Drosophila melanogaster: one gene and its partner. The protein of the gene in region 2 purifies or fractionates together with the protein of the main gene of each other region. This does not show direct contact. Each region holds a gene or a part of one and is shown on either strand. Other genes may lie near its edges. The genes, in order: Tctp and Atpalpha.

Region 1 (3,927 bases), 9.7 Mb from region 2:
TTGTTGTTCTCCTTATTGTTAAAAAGTTTTCTTGGAACAATACTCCATTTCAACAACGCTTCATAAGAATGGAAAGGTACATAAATAGACACATATGTATGTATATTAAAAACCATTAAATTCAACAATGTATGAGAATAGCGAAGAAAAACTTTTAGCTTTTTATCCCGAAAATGGTTCTATTTCAACTAGATTCAAATACTTGAATAAAATATTCTTTACAATTTTAGGAAAATATATTGTGCTTTTCAAAAAAATTGTTTTCGAACATCAGACAATATCGCCGTTCGCCCTAACGAGTGTCCACTGTGCGCATCTCTCACGCGACGAACGGCAACAGGTCGACACGTTTCGCTGAAATGGAAATAGCACCTGGGGCGCAGAGCCCCGCCCTTCAAGCAGATAAAGACGTACGTATTGCTTGACCTGGAATTAGATTATAGAATCCCAAATTCCAGCGAGAGCGGCGCATTTCATTAGCATGGTTGAGGTTAGGGCGAAGCCAACGTGAGAAACTGGGGCAAGTCGAACTGCAACGTGCAGAAAATCGTGTTCCACTGCGCATGACCTCCAAAATGTCCAATGACGGTAACGGTATTGGTGCGGGGCATGTGTACATCACTGTCAAAGGTCAATAACTCCGCGATTGCCCCAAAAAGCAGCAACAACACAAACTAACTGAAGTCTGTGACTCAGACGGTGGTGGCGCCCTCTCGTTCCCACTCACGCCGCCATATGGCGGCGTCTACCTACGCATAACTGCAGATTTGGAAAGAAGTACAGACATGCGGATTCACAGTTGTTTTGTATAGGTGTTCCGTTTAATTTCAGTACTGGTGTTCCCATTTTCGGTCTTCGTTGCTTTTTGATATCTTAGCGAAAATGCATACTAATTTGTAGGTGTTGCTATCAAATTATTATTTTAATTACAATAGGTGGCGCAATTGAATTGTTTAGCTCGCTGTGATTAAACAATAAACATACAATGTCGAATTTATAAGCGCTCCGGTAAAAAGAAATTAGATATAAAATCGCACTGATCGAAGACAGGCATTTTTGTCAGCGTTTTTAAACATAAATTTAAGACTTTCAAAATTGTAACTAAGCATCTGATAAATATGTATATGTGTGTAGAAGGTATGCATGAGTATAGGTTCCGTTTTGTTTGGGGGATTGGGATCCATCTAGCATTTCTCCTCCTCCAGACCGTGCTTGAAGAACATGAGCACGGGCACGCTGTCGCCGTTGATTTCGCGGTATTCCACCAGGGCCACCATGCCGTCGCAGTCCATAGATTCGCCGGTGAAGAACTGCAGCTCCTTGAAGCGGCCAAGGATGTCCTTCATGGCCTTGTTCATGTTGGTCTTGAAGATGTCGACCTGGTCGGGCGACTTCTCCTCCAGCTTGGCCAGCACCTTCTTCATGTAGTCCTTCAGGTAGAGGGTGTACGACTTCTTGTCGCCGAAGGCGAAGCACTCCGTCAGTCGGTGGTTAAGCACAACATCCACGCCAGACTCCGAGGTGATATCAGTGCCCTCGTCGGCCTCCTCGGCGGATGCGTTGGCGCCCTCCAGCTTGATATCGTCACCCTGGCGGGTGATCAGCTTTCCGTACACCTCGTAGATCACATCATCCACCAGCTTCATCTTGTAGGTGTCGGCAAACATCTCGTCGCCGGTGATGATATCCTTGTAGATCTTCATGGTGATTGGCTTGTCGGGAGTCGGAAGATGGCGTCTAAATCGCTGGCGAAAATGCAACTACAACTGCACCGGACCGGGAACACTGCGAAACGACCTGCCACGCGCTCACTCGAACAGCAAAAAGAATGAGCGAGAAAAAATGGCGAAAGAACTGCCAACTCGCTTGGGAGTGGTAACGATTGATCCGGGAGTGGCAGCGCCTACTATACACGTATCGATAATTTCAATGTTTTCTTCGATTTATTGTTAGTTAAGAGCAGGGAATATTAACAAGGCGAACAAAATTATTATAGCTATAATATTGATGTTTCTTACGTATATTTATGGCCATTCTAACTTTTAATAATTTGAGACTGTTTCAGTAAAAAAGATAAATATGTGTAATATTCTCAATTGGAATAATATAAAAGTGGGAACAGAATTAATCATATAAAGTAATAACAATGTTTTACAGTTGATATAAAATCAATACTTTCGAGACTTATTTGTTTTTTACCAACGTAGTGGCATCCCTGTTTGCGGTAATATCGCGCAGTCAGTGTACGGTCCCATCAATACAAGTTCGAGTGAAAAACAGGGAAATGTACGTAATTTCTGTGATGGCACTGCAAAAACCCTGATTTGTGACTGCTTTTTGCAGGTATGCACTCTCCAGTTCTTTGATCCGCTCTCCGGCGCTGCGCCAGGGCCTCCAGATGGCCGCTGCCAGCCGCCCGGTATCGATGAAGGTGGTTTCCGTGGCCGAAACCCAGAAGGACGAGTCGTTCTTCGAGAAGAACGAGCGCTTGGGCAGGGAGCTGTCGCCCCATCTGACCATCTACCAACCGCAGCTGACCTCCATGCTCTCGATCTGTCACCGCGGCACAGGATTGGCCCTGGGTGTGGGTGTTTGGGGTCTGGGATTGGGCGCTCTGATCTCGTCCCACGACATTAGCCACTATGTGACCATGGTGGAGGGCCTCCAGCTGAGTGGCGCCACTCTGACCGCCCTCAAGTTTATCATCGCCTATCCGGCTGGCTATCACACCGCCAATGGTATTAGGCATCTCCTCTGGGACACCGGACGGTTCCTGAAGATCAAGGAGGTTTACTCCACCGGTTACGCAATGGTCGCCACCTCTTTCGTGCTATCCGCTATCTTGGCCCTGCTCTAAGTCCAAGACCCCAGCTAAACCTATTACATTTTAGTGCGAACACTGTGTGAAAATTGTTATATACTAAATACATGTAGTGTGTATATTTATAAAGGTGTTTGTTGTGTTACGCAATCCATTTTGTTGCTTTGGGCGTGCTGCATACGTTTGTTGTGCGCTGCAATTTGCACGGTGTGCGTGTTTTTAACGATTTCGGTGATTTGTAGAGTGAATTCAGTGTGGAGGCCGGTTAAATAGACATCTTGCGGTCCATTGACAGCGAAATCAAGTATACGCCCCGAACAAGCGATTTCCGATAGCAGAATATTACTTACATGCGCCCAAAAGTAGGGAATACTTTTTATAGGCTTAAATTTACATGAAAAATTAAAACCAAATGCAAAAGGGCTCCGAAAATGTATTTATTTAAGAGTAGCTCTTTGGCTTCCCTAACTATAGAAAAGTCTTCTAAAGATCCTTTTACTTCGGAACTGAAGAATCTTTTTATTAGATGGGGGATTCAGTTCATGTACAGAATCTATATAAAATATGTATATCCTTAATTTTGATTTTTAAGAGGTCATTGTTATATGGATAGAAAATGCAGTTCAGTTAACTTTCTTCCATACGTTGTAATTTATTTATTGTGAATTTTGGATTATCATTTGTAAAAGCTGCAAACTGTAGTGCAACGGTTGTGTATGAGGCTAATATGTATCTAACAACTAATATCACAATCGATGTAATGTTATTGAAACTTCTTTTTCGGCAAATTATGAATCTGAAGCTTTCTATTGAATGGATCCATGCTTGCTGCCCTCCACTTCCGTTTCATTTTCACCATCGCTCCCACTTCCGCTGCCGCTTTCCTTTCCGTTTTCCGTCGGAGGCAGTAGCTCAAAGTCACACACCAGGGAAAAGTGATCCGATGGATATTGGAAGCTGGGTGTGCGATTCTTGCCAATTTGCTCTCCGGCCGGAAAGTCTAGACAGTTTTTGATCTGAAATTGGACATAAATATTGTTAAATAAATTGTAACCGCTTGCAACTATTTCAGAAATCCCACCTTGAGGCGATCGGGTGTGTAAAAG
Region 2 (3,927 bases):
AATTATGCAACGTTGTATTCTACACCAACAATATTATCATCAGAATTTGCCCTTGAAAATCCGTTGGGAAATGCGTCATATTTTATAAAATTAATTGTATGAAACCCAACCCAATAAACCCAACCACAAATGTTTTTAAACTTAAAATAATTTGCGTAACTTATTTTGATTCTTAAAATATGCATACCACTACAATACTAATAAAGACGTAATTTTGGAATTACATACTTAATTTTATAACAATACAAATATGCACAATATAATATATATTATAATAATTATATAATAATATCTAAATATATTCTACAAGACACTTTCAAGTCTAAGTGAGGTCTTAAGCGTTCTTTTCAAGTTTTCCCGTTACAAATAATATCTGGACCCACTGTTTGTTGCGAGTGGATTCAGACCGCTTGCTCTATAGTTTTGCATACTTTCGGGCCGTCGAACCAGTATGTGTGTGGGTGCGTGCGTGTGTGTGACCTGCCCTTAGACAAGCCCCAAAATCAATAGAGCTGGCAATACGGACTTAGAATTGGTGGTCTAGCCCTAGGAACAGAACCGAAAGCCCGGGTGGAAACAACAACCCTGGCGAAGAACTCATTACCTTCTGCGGGGTAATTAAGTGGCGTCATCGGTGGGGCATTTAGTAACTAATCGAATGGTGAGGGGGTAGGGAAGGGAAAGTAAGGGCTACGTACTGAGAAAAAAGTACGGTAAGAAGTACGTCGATTTACGCTAATGTGCCAGTGTGTGTAATTAGCAGCGCACTACTCGGCCCAATGACACCAATTCCGGAAGGAGGGAAAGCACGGAAAATGGAAAAATAAACGTGTTATGCAGGGTAGTTTCGTTCTAGAGCTCGAGATTCCAATAATGAAATCTGCGAGATGCGGCGGAATGGGGCGTGGTTCGGGAGGGGCGGCAGCAGTACCGGTTATGTAAGCCGAAAACTGGAAGATTTCCAAGCACGGAAAAGCGAAAAGCTTTCGCGCCGGGAAAGTGGAAAATTTGGGAAACTGGTCGGCCTGGAAATGCAAATTGCGCATGCCAGCTAAGCGCACCTGGAAAGCGAGAGAGAGAGAGACAGAGAGGCAGAGAGAGAGAGAGAGAGCAAGAGAAAGGGAGAGCGAATACAAATTCGAGAAAAAAGTCAAAAGCCAGGCTCTAAGCCCAGGCTATTTTTACAGATCAGCAGGTAAGCGGATATAGGCCCATCCAGATCCAATAGGATTAGTAACTGCGCCCCGTTTCACATTCGATTCCGTTTGCAGTTACCGAAAGCCCGCAAACAAATTAGTAAACTTCGTTGGGCGTCGCCTCGGCTTTGTTGTTGTTGTCGTTGCTTCTCGCTTTTTCACCAGCAACAAAACAAATAGTAGTAGCAGCAGCAGCAGCAAGAACAACACCAAAAGCAATGTACACAACACAGATACACGCACACACCCACACAGCGCACTCGGGCTTCGATTTTTCCCACTAAAAACAACGCCCGCTCAGCGTATCACTTGGCCAATTTGTTTTGGCCCTGGTTCTTTTTGGTTCCCTCGTCATGGTCTAACAACAGTTTAAACTTAACCATTTTCTCACTTAACTAACTTAGTTTTCATCGTAATCCAGGCTTTATTTTTGCTCACCTCGTAATCCGACCTTAACGCCATGTTATTTTAATTTAACTCGATTATTCCCAGGGATGTGGAAAATTTACACAATTCCAACGTATCGATATTTTAGAAGTCGTGACTACCAAATGGAGAGTTATCGGCCTATTGTATCGAATAAGCCGGTGTAGAAATCGGGATGGCAATCGGTTAAGAAAATGTAATTGTAAATATTGCATTATGAATAAAATTACTATTATAATTTGTCAATAGTCCGAACAGTCTGGTTTATTTAAAATGAAAAGTTAAGTATTTTAAATATACCTGGATATTTATTTACCGAAAGTTGTTACTATGCTACCTTCAAATATTAATATCTGGATATGTTTGGATTTCAATACTCTCATTAATAATTGCTAATTTAAAATACCAAGTTAAAAATATGTTTAATTTTTCACCTCAATTTGGAAATAACATACTTTTATGTACTTTTTATATCAACTGCAAGCGTGAAAATTACTGGAGCTGCCAGATTAAAATATACACACTACGATAGTTGCCATCTTGAATATTTACAGATATGGAGAGTTGCCAACGTTATAGTTATGTGTATTCAATTTCAAGAGATAATAAAATACCAAATACAATACGCGCGTCTTCTTGCATTCCAAACATAGGTGGCGCTGTATAAGCAAAATAATTTTAAGTGGCAGATAGAACGAAGTGTAGATGGCGTTCGTTAAACGTATAAATTAGCTACTCTCCAAGAAATGTTCAACTGGACTTGAATCTTCTCAAATTTATTTCCTATGTTCAGTATTGATCGTTGATCATTGTTGCGATGAATGGCTTCAAACGGGCCAGAGATTCTCGAAGGCTCAGCAATTCGACGATCCTGTGGGGAAAAACGCATCTTGGAGATTATAAGTTCAGCTTACTTAAACTAATTAAATTATACTTAAATTTCAAGATACACCTGATACCCCTCGTCATCATTATCCAGCAACTTATCATTGGAAGCACCAACTGAAGGTTCGCCCGAAACCAACAGACCGCGTAATTGATTATAATTAAATTATGAATTTAATTGAGAACACTATTGATAAGTACGAGTCACGATGTGGAACTCAAGACGAAGATCTTCCAATTTGTCAGTGTAATGGAGCTATAAACATAACAATCCTCCAAACGACCAGGCATTTGGAAAACTTATCTCCGTCCGCACAAGATCTCATTTTATCATCCGAAATGCTGACCTCCACTTGGTCGAAGCTGAATTTATCGCAACTCTAAACCCCAAATATAATCAGGATAATTAGATGTCTCAAGTCATTTTGTTCTTGAAGGCTAGCATGTTCTATCTAAGTTAGCTTCCCAGCAAAATGGCATCTAAATTTCTACAGATTCATTCAATTGATCAATTCGGTGACCAATTACAAGGAAATGCCAAATTTGCACACTCTTACAAAGAGCACAGTTTGCACGGTTTCATTTGCCCTTACCTTCTCCGGAAGCTTCAATTGGTTTATCCGGTTAATTAATATTTTGAAATCAATTGTTGTCGACACGAGCACAAACAAGGAAGCAGCTCCAAAGGGGCTGCGGTTGCTTAGGCGAAACGACTTTTCGCTCAGCTGCAGAGCAACCCACTTTCCACTTTGCCCATCCTTTTGCCCGCCCTCTCATCCTGCGGCCCCGTCAATCGATTCAATATCCCATGGCCATTAGAAGGAAGCCGGCTCGACTACAAAATTGAGCCCACATAAGCTGAGGGGAAATCGCCTTGTTGCCACTGCCACTGTCTTCGGGTTTGGCTTTCGCTTTTGCTTTTGCTTTGGCATTGGCTTTGGCTCAAATAACCTGAAAGGCCCAATCAACAGGTGTCTTTGCCTCTGCTGCGTGCTGGTGCTTAGTGTTTCTGTGTGTCTGGGTGTTTGTGGTTCAACAACCGGGCCACCGGCGGCAAGGAGTCAGCTTCACGGCCGAGTCGGATGCCTCGGTGTGTGCCAAGCCAAATGGCGAGAAATAAAACTGGAATAATTCAATAGGAGGCGTGGCCAGCCCACTAAGCCCATGGGTAGGAAGTGGAGGGGGGGGGGTGTGTGGGTATGGCTGCGATGGTTGGATTCAGTTCGGAGAAGGCAGCTTCATAGCTTGCGTAATGAATGTCCTTAGCAGGCTGGGCACGTTTCATGTTTTTTCGTTCATGTTTGCTCTGCCAGGCTCCTGGAATCCCCCATCCAGGCCGCCAATTTGGAGCCAAACGGAAGGACCAGAATGCTGGCCATTAAAGCTCGTGCTCCTCCAGCTCCTTTTGCTCATTTCACTT

The links.
Region 1: the proteins of Atpalpha (region 2) and Tctp purify together in Drosophila melanogaster (affinity purification with western blotting, with the first as the bait; one study listed by BioGRID). This does not show direct contact.

Annotation. Positions count from the first base shown.
Region 1 is NT_033777.3:11,208,157-11,212,083, reverse strand, and holds Tctp (translationally controlled tumor protein), read right to left. Parts: upstream 1,838-3,927; 5' UTR 1,704-1,837; coding exon 1,185-1,703; 3' UTR 186-1,184; downstream 1-185. Other genes in the region: SdhC (succinate dehydrogenase, subunit C), read left to right, coding at 2,285-2,286, 2,344-2,857; cu (curled), read right to left, coding at 3,628-3,837, 3,903-3,927. UniProt on the Drosophila melanogaster protein: Involved in calcium binding and microtubule stabilization.
Region 2 is NT_033777.3:20,946,537-20,950,463, reverse strand, and holds the start of Atpalpha (Na pump alpha subunit), read right to left. Parts: upstream 1,685-3,927; 5' UTR 1,659-1,684; coding exon 1,635-1,658; intron 1-1,634. UniProt on the Drosophila melanogaster protein: This is the catalytic component of the active enzyme, which catalyzes the hydrolysis of ATP coupled with the exchange of sodium and potassium ions across the plasma membrane.